Linked DNA regions of Drosophila melanogaster. The protein of the gene in region 1 interacts with the protein of each later gene in a pairwise test. Each region holds a gene or a part of one and is shown on either strand. Other genes may lie near its edges.

Region 1 (8,282 bases):
TTGTAGTTAGTTTATTTTTTTGTAATAACTCAACACATCGCTTTCACTTCTTTTAATCTTCATAAATTTTAATATTTCACTCTCAATATCGCAACACTCACCTTGATCCTGAAAGGTTCCCAGGGTATTCCAACTTTGAGGCGTGTGGCCAAGATAGCCGGCAAGATCTAAATGCTCCATTTCATAGATAGGAAATCTATAAGCAATGTTACAACTTAGTGCAGCTGACAAGGAACAAATTGTGACCATAGATCGGCGTCGTGGCAATAATGCTAATTGGCACTATCGGCACTTCCGCTGTCGTATTTAATTGGCAAATGCAAATTTGATTTAATCATTGCGTTTTCATCTCATCTGCAATAAAAAAAATGCATTATTAAATAGGTTGCAATATTTGTAATCGTAAAGCATAACAAGGCCATCCATGATTATAATCTCTTAGTGCCAACAGAACGTTCGGCTCCGCCCCATTTAATATAATTTGATATAACCACGAAAGACAAGTCGCAATTAACCCAATGATTAATCGATATTGTTATTCATATTTATTCATATTTTGATGGTTTTAGCGACCTTTCTGAGTATTAGATCACAAGCTCTTGGCGTTCTTGAATAACACAAGCTATGTACATATATGCGAATAACACAGAATTTTGAAAACACACTACAAAGTTGTATGGTAAGCAATGATAAGCGTTATCTAACTTACTATCGACACGCCGTGAAGTGCTAAAATTCTGGGAGCGGAGCACTACACGTCTTTGTAGTTCTCAAATGTTAATAAAAACATACACTAGTGTGTGAAAAGTGTGCACGCACAGCTTAAAGGTAGCCGGAACTCCCTAGAACCGTCGCATGCCAAAAAAGACGAAGAAAATGCGAGCAGACTCTGCAGAGACTCGAATCAAAACGCTGCACCAACCAATGCGCTTGAGGTACGCTTTGCAACTAGCTAACGATACATTCTTACTTACTTGTAGAGTAAAAGGGTATTGTAGACTCGTTACCGAGGAAAGATAAAACGGTAAGACGGTGACACATTCGACAGTAAGACCTAAAAATATTTTAACTGCTTTCTACAGTTTTCAATTTCAAAGGAAATCTTTAGACAAGTTTTTGAAAATATGCATCAAAAGAGGAAAAATAATATTACCTTTAAAATTTTTAATTTTTTCTATTTAGACAAAGTGAAACAGCATACAATGACAATATATGGGAGTAGGAAATTTTTGGTATTTGAAAAAAATGGAATAGTGTTTTTGTGGGTGATGTTAACAACTAGAAGCACCTATTAGCACCAATATTTAAAATTTATTTTTAATACACTTTCACTACCATGTCTCCTGAACCATATAACTTTTTAATTAATTAATTAATTAATTGTCAGTTTTAATTTAATAATATGTTTGTATAGAATTCCCCTTCGCACACTGTCCTGAAGCGATTCATAACGACGTGGACTCTCGTCCACAGTGGTATGTATACGCGCAGTTGGAGATTAAAGAACGCAGGTAAATAATGATTCAGCCACATGGAAACTCAGTGTATACGGATAAGATACTACTCAGTGATAAGATATTTTGTTTCACATTATCACGGCGTTTATTTATTGATACAACATAGACAAACTTCCTTTATAAGCAAACCATTCTTAAATATAATCGTTTGGAGTAGCGATATAAATTGGATAGAAAAGTAAGAAAATTTAACAAGGAAGAGAGTAAGCATCGGCAAGCCGATGCTTATATACAGAAATTATAAGTTTTAAAATAAAGGGTTGAATGTAACTGTGTATGAATACATTTTTTTTAAAAGAAAACGTATAAAAATAGAGTATTAATGGAATTAAACAGAGATTTTAGTTTTCTCAGTGCTGTTTTCAACATCTTTAAATTGTATATTTTTAAAACTGGACGTGCGCAATGGTACTTAGTGGATGAGAAACATGCGTAAATTTTTTTGACGAAATATTGACCAAGTCTCTACCCCCAGATGTTCAGAAGTTATCTTGACCAGCCGAGTCCAAATCTCAAGAACTAAAAGAGCTGCAGAGTTTTTTGGATCTTTTATCAAGCCGAAGTGCTGTCACGCAAAAGATTTTTTTTAGGCAGCTTCTTTGCAACTGCATGATAAAATGCATTTTGATGAAATTAAAAATTAAATCTGATGCTGTCAAAAATCAGGTGAACATTCTCCGAATATTCTTTTCTTTTATTATCAATTCATTATCAATGTTCCAATGGCAGCTAATTACATATTTGTCGACCGAACCGGCTCGAAGACTTTTGGACAACTTTCATGAGAATAGCTTTAAAACTCAGACCGAATTTCTGTTGAAATGGACGGACAGATAAGCATGTCTACATCCGATAGGCAGCTCATATAGATCAAGAATATATAAACTTTAATTCATGCGCTGCAAACTTCTGACTGAAATCAAAATACCCTGTGCAAGGGCATACAAAAATAAATACGTTTTTCAACAGTGTGAACGGAAAAGTTTTAAGCGGTTTGTGGGTTTAGCAATTTTTATGCTCAGCAGGGATTTTACAGTTCATGGCATCACAAACGTAGAGATTTTATTTTATTTACAACACTACCTAATCTCTGATTACCTTTCATGCGAAACCAACTTTTCCAAGCAATTGTTTGGTTGCTACAATTGCACATCTGGGGTGTGATTATCACATGCACATCTACATATGTATGTACATGTGTGGGTACACCTAACATATTTAGTAACGAGGCTTGGGAGCCTTTTATTTTTATTTTATATTATGTCTATGTTGAATATATGTATGCATATGGAGTATTATAAACTAAGCAAGAAAGAGCGATGTAGGCGGGTTACTCGTTACTAAGCTATTTGGTGTGCGAACGAGAAATTAAAAAATTCTTTGGCATATCCACAGAAATTGGCACAGGAATTATTAAAAAAGATAATATCAGCACATTTTTCGAAATTGTGGGAGTGAGAGTTTTGGAAGTGGCAAAAAAAAGGTGACATACTGATAGAAATTTCAATATATGTACATACATATGTATGTATATTTACGGCAAGGGTATAACTTAAAACATAAGCAAAATCTTTTTTCTGCATTCTACTTAAGTACAAGTAATAAGTATCGGCTATTTCGGATTTTGGCTTCAAACAGATCTTACGATTTTAGTTACTGTGTTTTTGAAAAATATATGGTCCTTTCTGTTATAATTTCTTGTATTGTGTTGCTGGGAAAAAGCAATGAAAAAAGAGGCAATTGTACCATACAGCATGGGTTCATTGACTTTTTTCACTCGTTCACGCTACAGAGCCTCTGAAAGTTTTTTCACATATTTCGGTATTGTTGTGGCCCTAGTAGTAATTGGCAACGTCCCACATTTTTAAGCATAAAGCCCAAAAGAGGAAAAAATTTACAAAGCCACAATACCGAGACTAACATACCCTTACTGCTTGAACCTTGAACCCAATTGCAGGAAATGGAAATCGCCTTGTTTTATGATATTCGAATCAAAATGTAAGAATATATTTACGATTCTTCGTTTCGAATTTGTATGTAATTGTAGCCAGTTAAATTAAGTTTATTTTTCGGGATTAAAAACAATCAACGTAAAAATAAATATACTTGTACAGTAAAAAAAATATATAAATAGATTAGAAATAGGTAAAATGAGGCGTTTCCGAACCGCATCATAAACCCTCTCGAAAGCTTTCAAGCAGCTCAACGTCCAAACTTTTGAATATTTTTCCTTGATTTGTATAGATGTTTTTGACACGCCCGCTATTTTAAGACATTTTTTATTTAATTCGTTTTTAATAATTGCGTAAAAAGAGTCTAGTGTTTTGTGACTTCACAATACACTATAAAAAATGTAATATTTTGGAACGAGCCTTATCAAATGTTTAGTTTACCGTCATTGTATCTCTAGCTTAAAAAGCTAATGCAGTAAAGTAGCGGGTTTTTCAAAAGTCATAGAATTAATTTTTTATATCGAGCAATTTAGTGTAATAAAAATGTGTGCAAGGGCCTGAAACAACTTGTGTATTCGCTCATACAAAATCTATTGCTCAAAATGGATAGTGATCGTGTTTGTTGCTAAATAATTATAATAATTATCCTTCGCGAATTTTCTACGGAAATGTGTTCTAAATATTTGAATATTTAGGAATTGAAATTGATCGAATCGTTTTCAAGAAATCCAACAGAAATTAAGAAGATATATATTTGTTTTAATCATATTTTCTAATCTGCTGTTGCTTAGACAAAAAACGTTCCAAACACACTTTTTCTTTCATAACAGCATTTGAAAAGCATTTCGTGCAGTGTAAATAGTTACATAAATTGAATTTGAAGTATTATAACGTTTTACAAAGAACTAGAAAGATATATATCCGAAAGTTGAATTGAAAGTCATATTCAGCCGAGTTGATCCAAGAATATATATATACTTTATATGGTCGAAAACAGACCTTTTTGCTACTTTAACCTAAAATTTAAATGACGTATTTTATAATTGTTTATACATCTAGTTGAATTATAATTTCTTTAAGCTAAATCTTTTGGGGACAAAAAACGCTTTTGAGGCTTTGAAAACATACAGTACCGCTTACAGTAGGTTTCACGAAAGACACTAGAATAATTTATTTAATTTAGAACTTCGAATAATTATTGTAATGTCTATGGTTTGACCTTTTCCAATTTTCGAAACGTTGCAGCTCCTTAAAGTGGACTACGATTTAAGCGAAATAAATTGTCGTTGTTGTTGTTGTATAAAAAAAACGTCATTTTTAAAATAGTTTTGGTTCTGTTAGTTTTGTTTTTATATTATTTTTTTATTTTAATTTAATACTTTTAATACTTTTTATTTTAATTTATACTCTCCATAACAAGGGTCCCCAAATGTGTTTGATAGTGTTGATGTGAGGGGAGCAAGGCGGCCACTCAAGCAATCTTAATCCACTGTTTTACGATTCAAATCAGTGTCATAATGGAACGTCAATTGAATATGAACATAAATCTCAGAAACCGTTGGAAAACCCTTTTAAGGTACAGCCTAGTACGCATTTGCGTTCATCTTCGAGGTGACAAACTGGAACTGGACCATGTTCCATAAAAAGATATCGTGAAATTAGTAATTATAACCATCAGGTCCATCAAGGTTGAACTTCTTTTCGTCGGAGAAGGTTACCGTCTTCCACTCCTTGTTCCACTCCGTGTTTTCGGGCAAATCGAAGTCGTGATTTTTTTTCGAGCATCATAATGGAGTTTTTTTTTTCAAATTCTTTAAGTTCGCATTCTTCCCTTATTTTACCATCAGAATGAGTGGAATTTGGTAAGTTCGTATGATAAGTCTTTCCTCCGATGCTGTTGTTGCATGTTTTTCCCTCCACTCATTTTTTATATAGTCTGCTTAGTTACGATCAAAATTGCTAATTGCTTTGACTTCGACCTATTTTCTTCGCAGATTCCATATCCATATAGCCTTTTACTTTACCTCGGTTAAAGCTTTTCCACGGCCATTTTATAAATAAACAGGTATTGAATGTCTTAAATAATAGAATACAAAAGAATGCAACCTTTTTCAACCACACGGTCCAACAAAAAGAGAAGTCAAAAGGGTAAAAGCTATTCAGATGAGCCAAAAACAATGGAGATTTCTTCTTATATAATATAAATAATATAAAAACATACATAATATAAAAACATATAATATAAAAACAAAATTTACAGAACCAAATCTTTGCTATTCCAAGGAGGACTGTTTTCTTTATAAAAAATTTAAAATAGTCAAACCTATTCAATTATGCGGCAGTGTAAGTTCAAAACAACAAACCGCACAAAAATTGGAATAAACATAATTTATTCGGTTCGTTTTTTTTACATGACCATTATGGTAATAAATTTACACAGCTTTTATTTATTTATTTTAAAATATACATGTATAAAATATATATACATCGGTATACCTTGTTTGCGGATCGCTGACTTTATGTTATACGTAGCTGCCATAGAAAGGAATCGTTTTAGTCAAAATTGTACTATGTACTTCGCAGTGGATGGCAGTATTTTATATGGCCGTATTAAACATATCTTTTTTGTGTAACTGTGTAAATGTATTTTCAAATAGAAAGCGGTGAGGTCTCTAAGAGCTTTCTAGTAGCAAATGTGATCATATGCATGTACATACACATACATTTACATGTATTGTGTTGTTGATATGTCGGGAATGCAGTAAACATTTTTATTTATATACAAATCCATGCTTAATTTTTTATTCGGCTTCAACATACATACATCTGTACATAGATACTTATATAAAATAACAATAGAATGTTCAGTAGAAAGAGTCCTGACCGGTTGGGCAATATGACAAGCGCGACAACGAAATCTCCGCGGTCTTCTGGTCACTTTTATAACTTTTTGAAAGGCATTGTATGTTCTCCATGTCTAATTTACAACGAGCTATTTTTTCTTTGCTCTGCTATTTTGTTTTGTGCCCTCAATATTCACGTAAACACTCAGATACACTTCTTTCTCAAAACTACTGTAAACGAAAGCTGGAGAAATAGGCATTGTTCATATATTTATATGTACAAATGTGTACATCCTATATACATATGTACATCGTACATATATCCACAGACGAAATACATATGTAATTGGGGCGGCTACAGACACATTGAAAAGACCGCACGATTGCAAATGGCTAACTCGCAAAGACAACGCTCAGATAGAGACTGAATTGAGCGGAGCAAAGCTGTAAACGTGTCTTAGACTAAACGTGGCCGAGAGAACCGAGATAAAGCGGAGACACGAAAGAGGCACGAGAGAGATCCGTTTAAAGCCATGAGCAAGGCGAACAAAGAAACTGGTTAGAATACAGGCAGGCTTGTTCCAAAACATTGGGAATCAAAGAAGAATCTCGGCTAGAGAAGGGCGCGACGAAAATGGCATGAACCCTTTTTATACCCACTTAAATGGGTATGACTTAAGCCAAAAACAAAATACGCAGACAGCTTTGCGATTTTTGTACATACATACATAATTATGTATGTTGCATATATATATGCACGTATATCTGACATTACCGCTGCAGTGGAGCGGTAGAATGGGTTGAAAGCGGGTTGAAAGTATGTATGCAAACGTTGAAACTAACAACATTTTTTAAAATATTATACATATTAGAATAGTTCAATTAAATACATACAAATATACGCAATAATATATACAGTTTGTCAAGAAACTGTTTACACACTGTGAAATAAGTTGAATTTTTGACTTTAAAGCTAAAAATTAAAGGTTTTTTGCTTAATTAAACGCAATTTTTTTATTCAATATAATTAAACAATATTTATTTTACTTATAAATCAAATCAAATTAAAAATATTAAATATACAAGAAAATAAACACCAAATTCCAAGTTTGCACATATTTGAGACTGTCAAGAAACTCTTTACACAAAACACTAAATCGAAGTTTAATTCTAAATTTTTTAATTATTTTATTAAAATTTTAAAAGTTTTAGTATGTTCCCCATATATATACGCGTATATTTAATACCAATTATTTGAAATATAGGTTAAATATGTATATGTAAATGTTCGTAAAATTTTTTTAAGTAATCAATACAAAATCAGATTATTGTTTGCAAACAAAAGAGCTTTTTTTTAAATTTTATTTTTATTTCTTGTATATTACAAAACAAATTAAAATCTGTAAAAGTCCTTGGCGACCAACATATGTATGTACATATTTATGTAGTAAGTGCGGTAAGACCTATTGTGACTATGGATAATAACTATATTGCAAGTGTAGATATTATTACCATTCTGCGATATATCTCTTACATCGAAGGCAATAAGATATTTTTTGTAGTGCCTGAAGTACCCTTAATATACTACCGTGGACGATAGTGACGAAGCGCACTAGAAAAGTGTGCGAAGGCGACTATTATGTGTACATATGTATGTAATGTACATATGTATGTTATACTCGAAAAACTACATGGAAATCTGCGGCAGCTTTCCAATCAACAAGATATTCACCAATTGGAAAAAACCGCTAAACCTGAGTGGGCGTGGCCAAAAATTGTTTGGCGTCTTAGGAATCTGCATGTCAAATCTCAACTCTCTAACTTTATAAGTTCTTAAGATCCAGGCGTTCAGACGGACAGATCGTTTAATCCTGATCAAGAATATATACACCCTATATAACGGGTATAAAAAATAGTAACATTCTAACATATACATTTGGTATATACGGACTTTCTTTATAAAAATGTAG
Region 2 (8,197 bases), on another chromosome or scaffold:
GCTAACAAAATGATTTGATATTAATGTATAAATCTGCACAAGGTTTTGAAATATTGTACTATAACTAACTCAAAAAATATATAATTTGAAATATATAATATTAAAGTTTGAAATTTTAACAAAGGTTTCTAAATAGTAGATCAATATTTGAGTGATCAAAAAAAAAAAAAGAAAAAAATAAATATATTTGAAGATTATTACAATATAATAGAAAAAATGTGCCTAATTTCTAATTAATAACTTTTAACATTTTTTATAAATCGCTTATATAAAAAACCAATGTTTTGTAGATGAAGAGATACTTAAATTTCTTCCAGTGCATACGAAACAATGAATCCCAGATACAAAACTTTAGAGCCAGAGCGAGATGGCGGAGTGAGTATGTATGTGTGTGTGTGTGTGTGCATGGGTGTGTGGGTGTGGCATGCCATATATCTCCACCTCTTTTTCGTCCAGAGGACAAATCAAATGCAACAATAGAAGGCAATTTGCAGCAAAAAGGATACAAATAAATGCGAGTAGCTAACCGGAAAAAGAGAAAACAATTGCACTGCTACCAAATTGCCAAATGTTGTCTGCATTGATTTCCTTTCTACTGCAACATGTACATATATATCCGTGTATCCATATAGAAATATACACATATATAGGTATCTGCTCTGCAGCAGCGACAAACACCGAGCATCTCACACACACATATCCCTTTCGTGCGAGTGTGTGTGTGTGCATAAGGACGCCATTTTAAGCAAGAAATACTCTTGGAAATGCAAAGAGAGTCCGGATTTGGCCAGTAAGTTGAATATTAAATTTGGTAGCTTAGTTGGAATAATGTTACCACATTTACTGGCATTTAAAATTAAAGATTAGCTTAAATAGATATGGTGTAGTCAGGATAATAATATTATATTTAACAAAAGAACAGATTACCTAATGAACTATAAGAATCTACATACATACGTCAATGTTAGATCTTCCATTGTTAAAATGTAATTTAAATATATTAAACAATACTTCTTATAAACATATTAAATAATAATTTAAATAAACAAATAGGGCTATCTATTTATGAAATAAAAATAAATAAGAGTACTGAATTGCCGCTGAACTTTTCTCTCCTGACAATCTGTTCTTCTCACTTGCTCAAATTTTTCTCTTCGACTTGGGTCGTCAACTTCATGATTTATTAACAAATTTGCGAAGAACATTTATTTATTTGCCGTTTGTTGATAAACATGTGACTTTGTTTTCTTTTTGGTCTCCCTTACGCTCTACCGCCATCTCGCTCCCACCCTTTGTATTTCATTGCCCACTTTCTTTTCTGATTGTTTACGCGCTAATGACCTCATTATATATATAATGTAATTTGTTGTTGCCACACTGGGTTCCTTTTCTCTATTGTTTTTTTTTTCATCTTGTTTTGACATAATAAAGCGTTTTTGGCGCAATTTGTTGTATCTTTGTCTCTGTTTTTTTGTTTGTCGTCTGTCTGCCAGCTCGCTCCCTCTCTCTTACGCCCCCATATCGCCCACTCATTTTACGTGTGCATGTGTGCATGTGTGTGCGTGTGCTTTGTTAATTTTTAAGCATTGTTAATATAATATGGCGGTGACTTCTGTCACCGAACACGAACAGATGGAGGTGAATCTCTTTTTCAGGGGGATCACCCACTTTTCACTCCGCCGGAATTCGTAGCACACTTTTCAGGGCTTCCACATTTGGGAAAGGTGCTTAAATTAAGAGTTGGATAAACTAGCTGACAAGATTAATTAGGAAATCGAAAAAAAACAACAATTAGATGAAAACACTTGAAATTTTAAATGTAAGTTTATTTTTGTAAAAGTCGCATATGGCGTTATTTTGCATTAGCTAAGCATAAGCTCTGCGTTCAAATCTCAGTGAACTTACACATATCATACAATATGCAAGAATTGGCTAGTGGATACCTCTGAAGACAGTTAGGATCCATGGAGGTATACGTTGTAGTTGAGCCATTTCCCTCGATCCGGTTGACTAGAGATGTATGTGGATATTATGATTTCGAACCGATTTCGTGTAGGATATTGTGAATGAGTCGCGTGCCGCGTGTTACAATATATAAGAATAAATCTAGAAGCGTCTACAGATCTCGCTGTCCTCTACTTCTTGCGCTTCTCGACAGGCTTCAGGATTTGGAAGGAGCACATGAGTGTATTGTCCACGGACATCATGGCACCAGCATTGTCGAATTCACCGCAATAGTTGGGGGCGGAAAACAAAGTGACCAATTGGCGCTTGGCAAAGAACTCGTAACCATCCTCGACGACTTGATGGGCACGACAGATCAGATCCAGATCGTGCTTTTGGAGGAACTTGACCACAACTTCGGCGCCAAAGGTGAAACTAACGCCACGGTCGTTCTCGCCCCACCCAATGGTGTCCTTGTCCGGATCGGACCACAGCAGGTCACAGAGTAGTCCCTGATCGGGAACATCGGTGGGACGCATAATACGACGGATCTGCTCCATCGAGGTAAGATCCGGACTCAGTCCGCCGTGGCAGCAAAAGATCTTCTCATCCACAATGGCCACAACTGGCAGACAGTTGAAGCAGTCCGTGAATGTCTTCCACAACTTGATGGTATATCTGCGCTTGCACTCGTCGTAGAATCCATAGATTCTATTAATGCTGGCGCACTCGTGATTGCCGCGCAACAAAAAGAAGTTCTCCGAATACTTGATCTTGTACGCCAACAGCAGGCAGATGGTCTCCAGCGACTGCTTGCCCCTGTCCACGTAATCGCCCAAGAAAAGATAGTTAGCCTCCGGCGGATAGCCGCCGTACTCGAACAGACGCAACAGATCATAGTACTGGCCATGGATATCGCCGCAGATCTTGAGCGGCGCCTCCAGCTCTAAGAGTATGGGCTGTGCCAGCAGTATTTCGCGCGACTTGAGGCACAGGCCCCGTATCTCACCCTCCGACAGCTGGACATTCTTGCCAGGCCGTGCGCCACGCACCTCCAACAGACGGGAAATTATGCTCTCCAAATTGAGAACCTCCGCCATGGCCTCGGTCTTGGGGGCCGCGGCTGCGTTGTCCGGGCTGGATAGGACAATCGTCTGGGACGCCGTTGGGGCTGCTTGTCAGGGACTCACCCTGAGATCGCGGCTGTCTGGAGAATGGGACTGGATCCTCGGCGGAGCTGGTCTATTTGGGTCACAAACTTAGCTTCTTGGGTGCAGCAAAATGTATGTCCTGATGACGTGCACTTTTTGTGATGATTTGTGAATTTTTCGATTTACTCAATACCAGGTGCTCAATACCAGAACATAACCGAATGGAATTGCTTCTTCTCGATATGTGGCGGTGAATTGTTTAGCGTTCAGCTTTTTTTTTCTTTTGATTCTTTCACAAAATGCCTAATAAAAATGTAGGACAAATTCTCGCTTCTAGAAAAAGTGAAAAGAAAAAGGTTTGACAGCTTGATTAGCTATATCGATTGAAATCGATTACCCTACCTTCTCTAAGTTCCTTCTAGTGGTGTGCAAAGTCCAGCTGTTGTAATCTAAATTCTAGAATCTAGACATTTGACCTCTGCGTGCTGTACTAGCAGTCGTCTTTAGATCGTGTTTTTTTTTTTTCGATTTCGCTTCTCCGGAAGTTAATGAAAATTGAGGATCTGATCGGATACACATGTGCTGTTCACTAAAACGCACTTTAATACTCTACATTCGCGCTTTTGCGGTATCTTAAAAATTTTAAAAAAAATTTTGATTCCGGAACGGTGACCTTTATACTTTTCAAAGACTAAACGAATGACAAATCGACGACAGACAAGTCAGTGACTACATCGCATTGTTCCAGTTCGTGTTTCATGGAAATGTGATGGTATAGTGATTTCTCAGAAACTTTTACAATAGAAAATATATATATTATATAAACGCATTTATTTGTATTTTCTTCGCATGTTCTAGGTTTTAAACTAAAATAAACGATACCTTAACCATCCTTATAAGCTGTCTTACATCCCGCGTTTGCAGTACTAGAAAGGTATTATTTAAGTTGGTCACCCCTGGAAAAGTGTGCCGACCCTCGTCTGACCCTCGCCCATTTGTTCATATTATCTCTGATTGAGTGGAAAACTTGAAGTTGCCGAGTGCCATTTGCTGTGCACCCCGGTTTTGGTATATTGTATATGAGCTTATTTCGTCGGATTTCCCGGCTAGTGTGGCCACTAATTAGCTGCAATTTGTTGGCGCAACTTGAAAAATGGCAGTGTAAACAGGGTATTTTCCAGTGTCCCAATAATGAGGCAATAACCCCGCATTTTTCACATACATACCATATATATACCATATATATATGTACACATAAGTATATTACATAAATAGCGAGCTGTTCGAGCTGATTGAACTGCTTTGTCGGCTGTTGGCGAAGGGCTCCACTGTACAGTGTGTATCGTGTGCTGGCGCACCGCAAAGCAAACATTCAAACATTCAAACAGCAGCGGCATCGTTTATTTTGGGGAAACAAAGGACCTCATTTTCCCCCATTTGTTTGACCAGCAAGGCAGCAAGGACAACAAGGACAACAGGGACCAACAACAAGCGGCCAAGTTTTATAAATGGCTTGGCCATTGTTGTGCGCCCGCCGCTGTTTGTTGAAATTAATTGGTGTTACACAAATGAGTAATTTTCAATGTACATAAATATTTGCACAAATTGCAATTTGTGTTGTGCGGCGGGGGATTGTCGGTGAGAGGGGGAGTAAGGGGGCGCACTCACTTTCGAGTGCTGTTCAAATAGCCATTTTTATTGTCAAGCGCTAATAATTTCCACAATGAATAATATGAACGGCAAGCATCTGTTATTATTCCAAACAAATCAAAACAAGTGCAGTCGAAACGAAACCGTGTGGGAGTGGGAGTGGGCCAAGACTCTTGAGTGCTGAGCCCTGAGCTTCTGAGCCAGTGATATTCAGAGTCCTGCATCCTGGGCATCCCACCCTGCGCTGGCATCCTGGCCACACACAAATCTTCATAAATTGCAACGGCCGGGGCGACAGTTTTGGGAATTGAGACAAAGTGCGAGAAGTGCCTGTGTACAGGGGCGAAATGCGAAAAGGGGTCGCCAAATGGGAAAATGATACACTTTACTTTACTTATTTTTACACATACACACACACGCACATACGGAAAGGACACCCCGTCGCACACAGACACAATCAAGGAGCAACAAATTGCCGCATAAATGTGGGGTGGTTCGCCACCTAATAGATTTTATTTTATTTTTATATCCGCCAGACGCGCAGCCAGCGGCCAACTTTTTTCCTACTTGTCGTTGTTTTATTTATTTATTTTTTTTTTTTTTGGCAGGGGGTTGCGATTCATGGCCTTACTTACTTTTACTTTTCACATTTTTACCTTTTTACCTTCTTTTTTTTTTTTTTGCCTCCGCCTTTTCGATCACAAGTAGGTGTAGTGGTTGGATGAGGGGGAGGGGAGCGGGTGGTTGAAGGCAGCTAGATTTCACGGGAATTCCCAGGATATTCTGCGCTGTTCGAAGGAACAGCATCCCACATTCATTGTCTCTAACTAACATTGAAAATTTGCCATAAACTTAAGCATATTTATAGCAAGCAGTTCAAGTCACAGGGGCTTTTTTTATATTTATGAATTTATTGAAATTATCAAGAATATAATTTTTTATGCAATTAAAATATGACTTTTAAGTTTTTCACTATTGTAATGGAACTAGAACTGGAACTAAAACCACAACAAAATTAATAAAATGAGATGCATTTGTAAATATAAACAAATGACCTTTACATTTTTATAAACTCATTATAATGGCTGTTATTTCGAGAACAATTCAGTGTTTCCTTTACATTCGATAACGCAGATTGTCTTGTAATTTCCCATGCCTGTTTTTCCACCTCCTTTCAAGTGTATCGACTTTCCACAGACGACTCATAAACTTTGTCGAGCAACAAAAAACGTGGCAATACTCACGCATACACTGCAATAATTTGCAGGGTTAATGGCAACATATTGTCGCTGGCTCATCATGCGTGTGAGCGGAAATAATAGCAATGGAAAAGCGTGGAAAACCAGCAAGACCGCGGAGTTTTCCCGCCTCCGGCGACCACCTGCCAACGTTTTCCGCCCACCCCAGCTTTAATTTTTGCTCGTAATTTTTTACACATTGCGGTCCCAGCTTAACGGCTGCCCTCTGCCGTCTGTTTTCCGGCCCGCCCAACTGGGAGACACATCCAAGTGGGCGGTGAAAATTCCGCCCAGCCATACGCAACCACCCTTCTTCACGGCGATTGCGTTGCCTTCTTTCACATCACGCACACGGCGATGGAACAAGTGCAGCGGCTCAGGTGAGGAGGGAAAAGCGAAAAAGGGGGGTGGGAAAACACCGGGAGAAAATCTGCACTACGTTGTAATATATTGTGTAATATATATATATTATTAAAATTATATATGAGCGCTCAAAAAGGCATAGTTTTAGTATAGCCAAGGATTGGACAAGATTATATGAGGCGTCTTTTTAAATTGGGGTTTTATTAAGTTATCGATTATAATGATTGAATTGATTTGAATTTGTTTATTAGAACTATGAAGTTAGGAGATCAGATAATATATATTAAACAAAATGAAGTGCACTCGGTGTGCTTTTAGAAACCATCTCTAGACCAAAATTAATTGATTTCAGTGCCAGTTGTGGGCATTTTCTTGCAGTGCAGAGGGAAAGTGGCAATCACACGCTGCGTCGCCAGTCTGTGCAATAAAAACAACAACAAAAAGCACAACGACACGCTGCACACACACACAAACACACAGGCATAACACACAAGGACACGAGGGATTCCACGTACGCCCATGGGTGTGGGTGGCGGGGGGTGGTAATAGAAATTACATACAAAGTAGCAGGCGTGCGGGAAGTGGAGCGGAGGTGGCACAGGTTTCCTCAATTCACCCGTGTAATTCTCCCCTGTTTTTCCCTTTTTTTTTCGTCAGCCTGCACTTCCTCTCACCGCACCTCACCAAGGCCCCTTTCCCTTTCTTTTTTTTTTAGGCGGTGCGACATTAATATGTAGATGCATTAAGTACATTATCCGGGGTTACAACCTCCGGAAAGCAGCGAGCAGCAACCAGATCCGGAGTAGCGCACGCAGCCAGCATCCAGAACTTGCTGGTGCTACAAAGGTATGGTACAGTGGTTGGAAATATGTTATAAAGATGGGATATATATATCAGATATATTCTGTCTGCTATAAGAAGAAGTCTATGTATAAGACATACTTTAGATATATCCCTATATTTTGTATATATATTATAACCATATTTTAGTAAGCGAATGTAACTACACATTTGAATATCCATATGAGCATATGAAATATGAAATCTCCTTGATCCTTATAAAATATTCCACAAATTTCTTAAACTTTCAATTTTTATAACAAAACAGCACTTGTTGTTACTGAAGCATGTATTGATTTCGAAACAGCGAATTAACGCCCGAAAATCACTGATTCAGCCCACTGTGCGCAGTGGCATGGTCACGAGAAGGGGGCAAGGGAAATATTATGATTTATTTTTATTATGGCGGGTAAAGTGGTCTTTACAAGCATCAAACAGGGCCACGCCAATCGCCCACAGACGCGCCGAGTAAAAAGGCAGTTAGTTGGTTTAGGCCGAACAGGATGCGGAGAATAGGTGGGCGGAGGAGGACATCCAGGAGCAGGACGAGGAACGTCAGGACACCAGGAGCCGGGGTGTGCCGAGTGGCAGGAGGGTGGCGCACAAGTTGTTAAATGGACGGGTGGATTTGCACTTGCCGTGCTGACTGTTATCTTCATTTTTGCTTTCAGTTATATTGCCTGGGAATTCCTGTGGGAGCTGCTTTGGGCACGGGATCAGGGATCAGGGAACAGGGAATCCCCCTTCTCGTCCGCCTCCTCCTCCTTTTTGGCTAAAACAAATTGTATGCCCGGCACGGGCATAAAAACAAGCGGATCAAACAGCCGGGCAGGTGGAATCGCAATGGCAATGGCATGGCATGGCCTCATGGTGGTGGTTGGATTTCCTACCATCTTGTTGCCATCGCCGGCAACAGGAGCCGCAAATCGAAAAAGAGTGTTCACGGATTTTCCATTCTCGTTGTTTTGACCGTAGCCCAAGCTCATTGAAATTGCATTAATGTTCCGTTTG

The links.
Region 2: the proteins of CG42748 (region 1) and Pp1-13C interact in a two-hybrid assay, tested with the Drosophila melanogaster proteins (one study listed by BioGRID).

The regions. Positions count from the first base shown.
Region 1 is NT_033779.5:22,132,791-22,141,072, reverse strand, and holds the start of CG42748 (uncharacterized protein), read right to left. Parts: upstream 6,741-8,282; 5' UTR 5,966-6,740; intron 953-5,965; exon of another isoform or gene 710-952; intron 355-709; 5' UTR 250-354; coding exon 102-249; intron 1-101.
Region 2 is NC_004354.4:15,357,294-15,365,490, forward strand, and holds Pp1-13C (protein phosphatase 1 at 13C), read right to left. Parts: upstream 3,769-8,197; 5' UTR 3,498-3,768; intron 3,429-3,497; 5' UTR 3,045-3,428; coding exon 2,136-3,044; 3' UTR 1,808-2,135; downstream 1-1,807.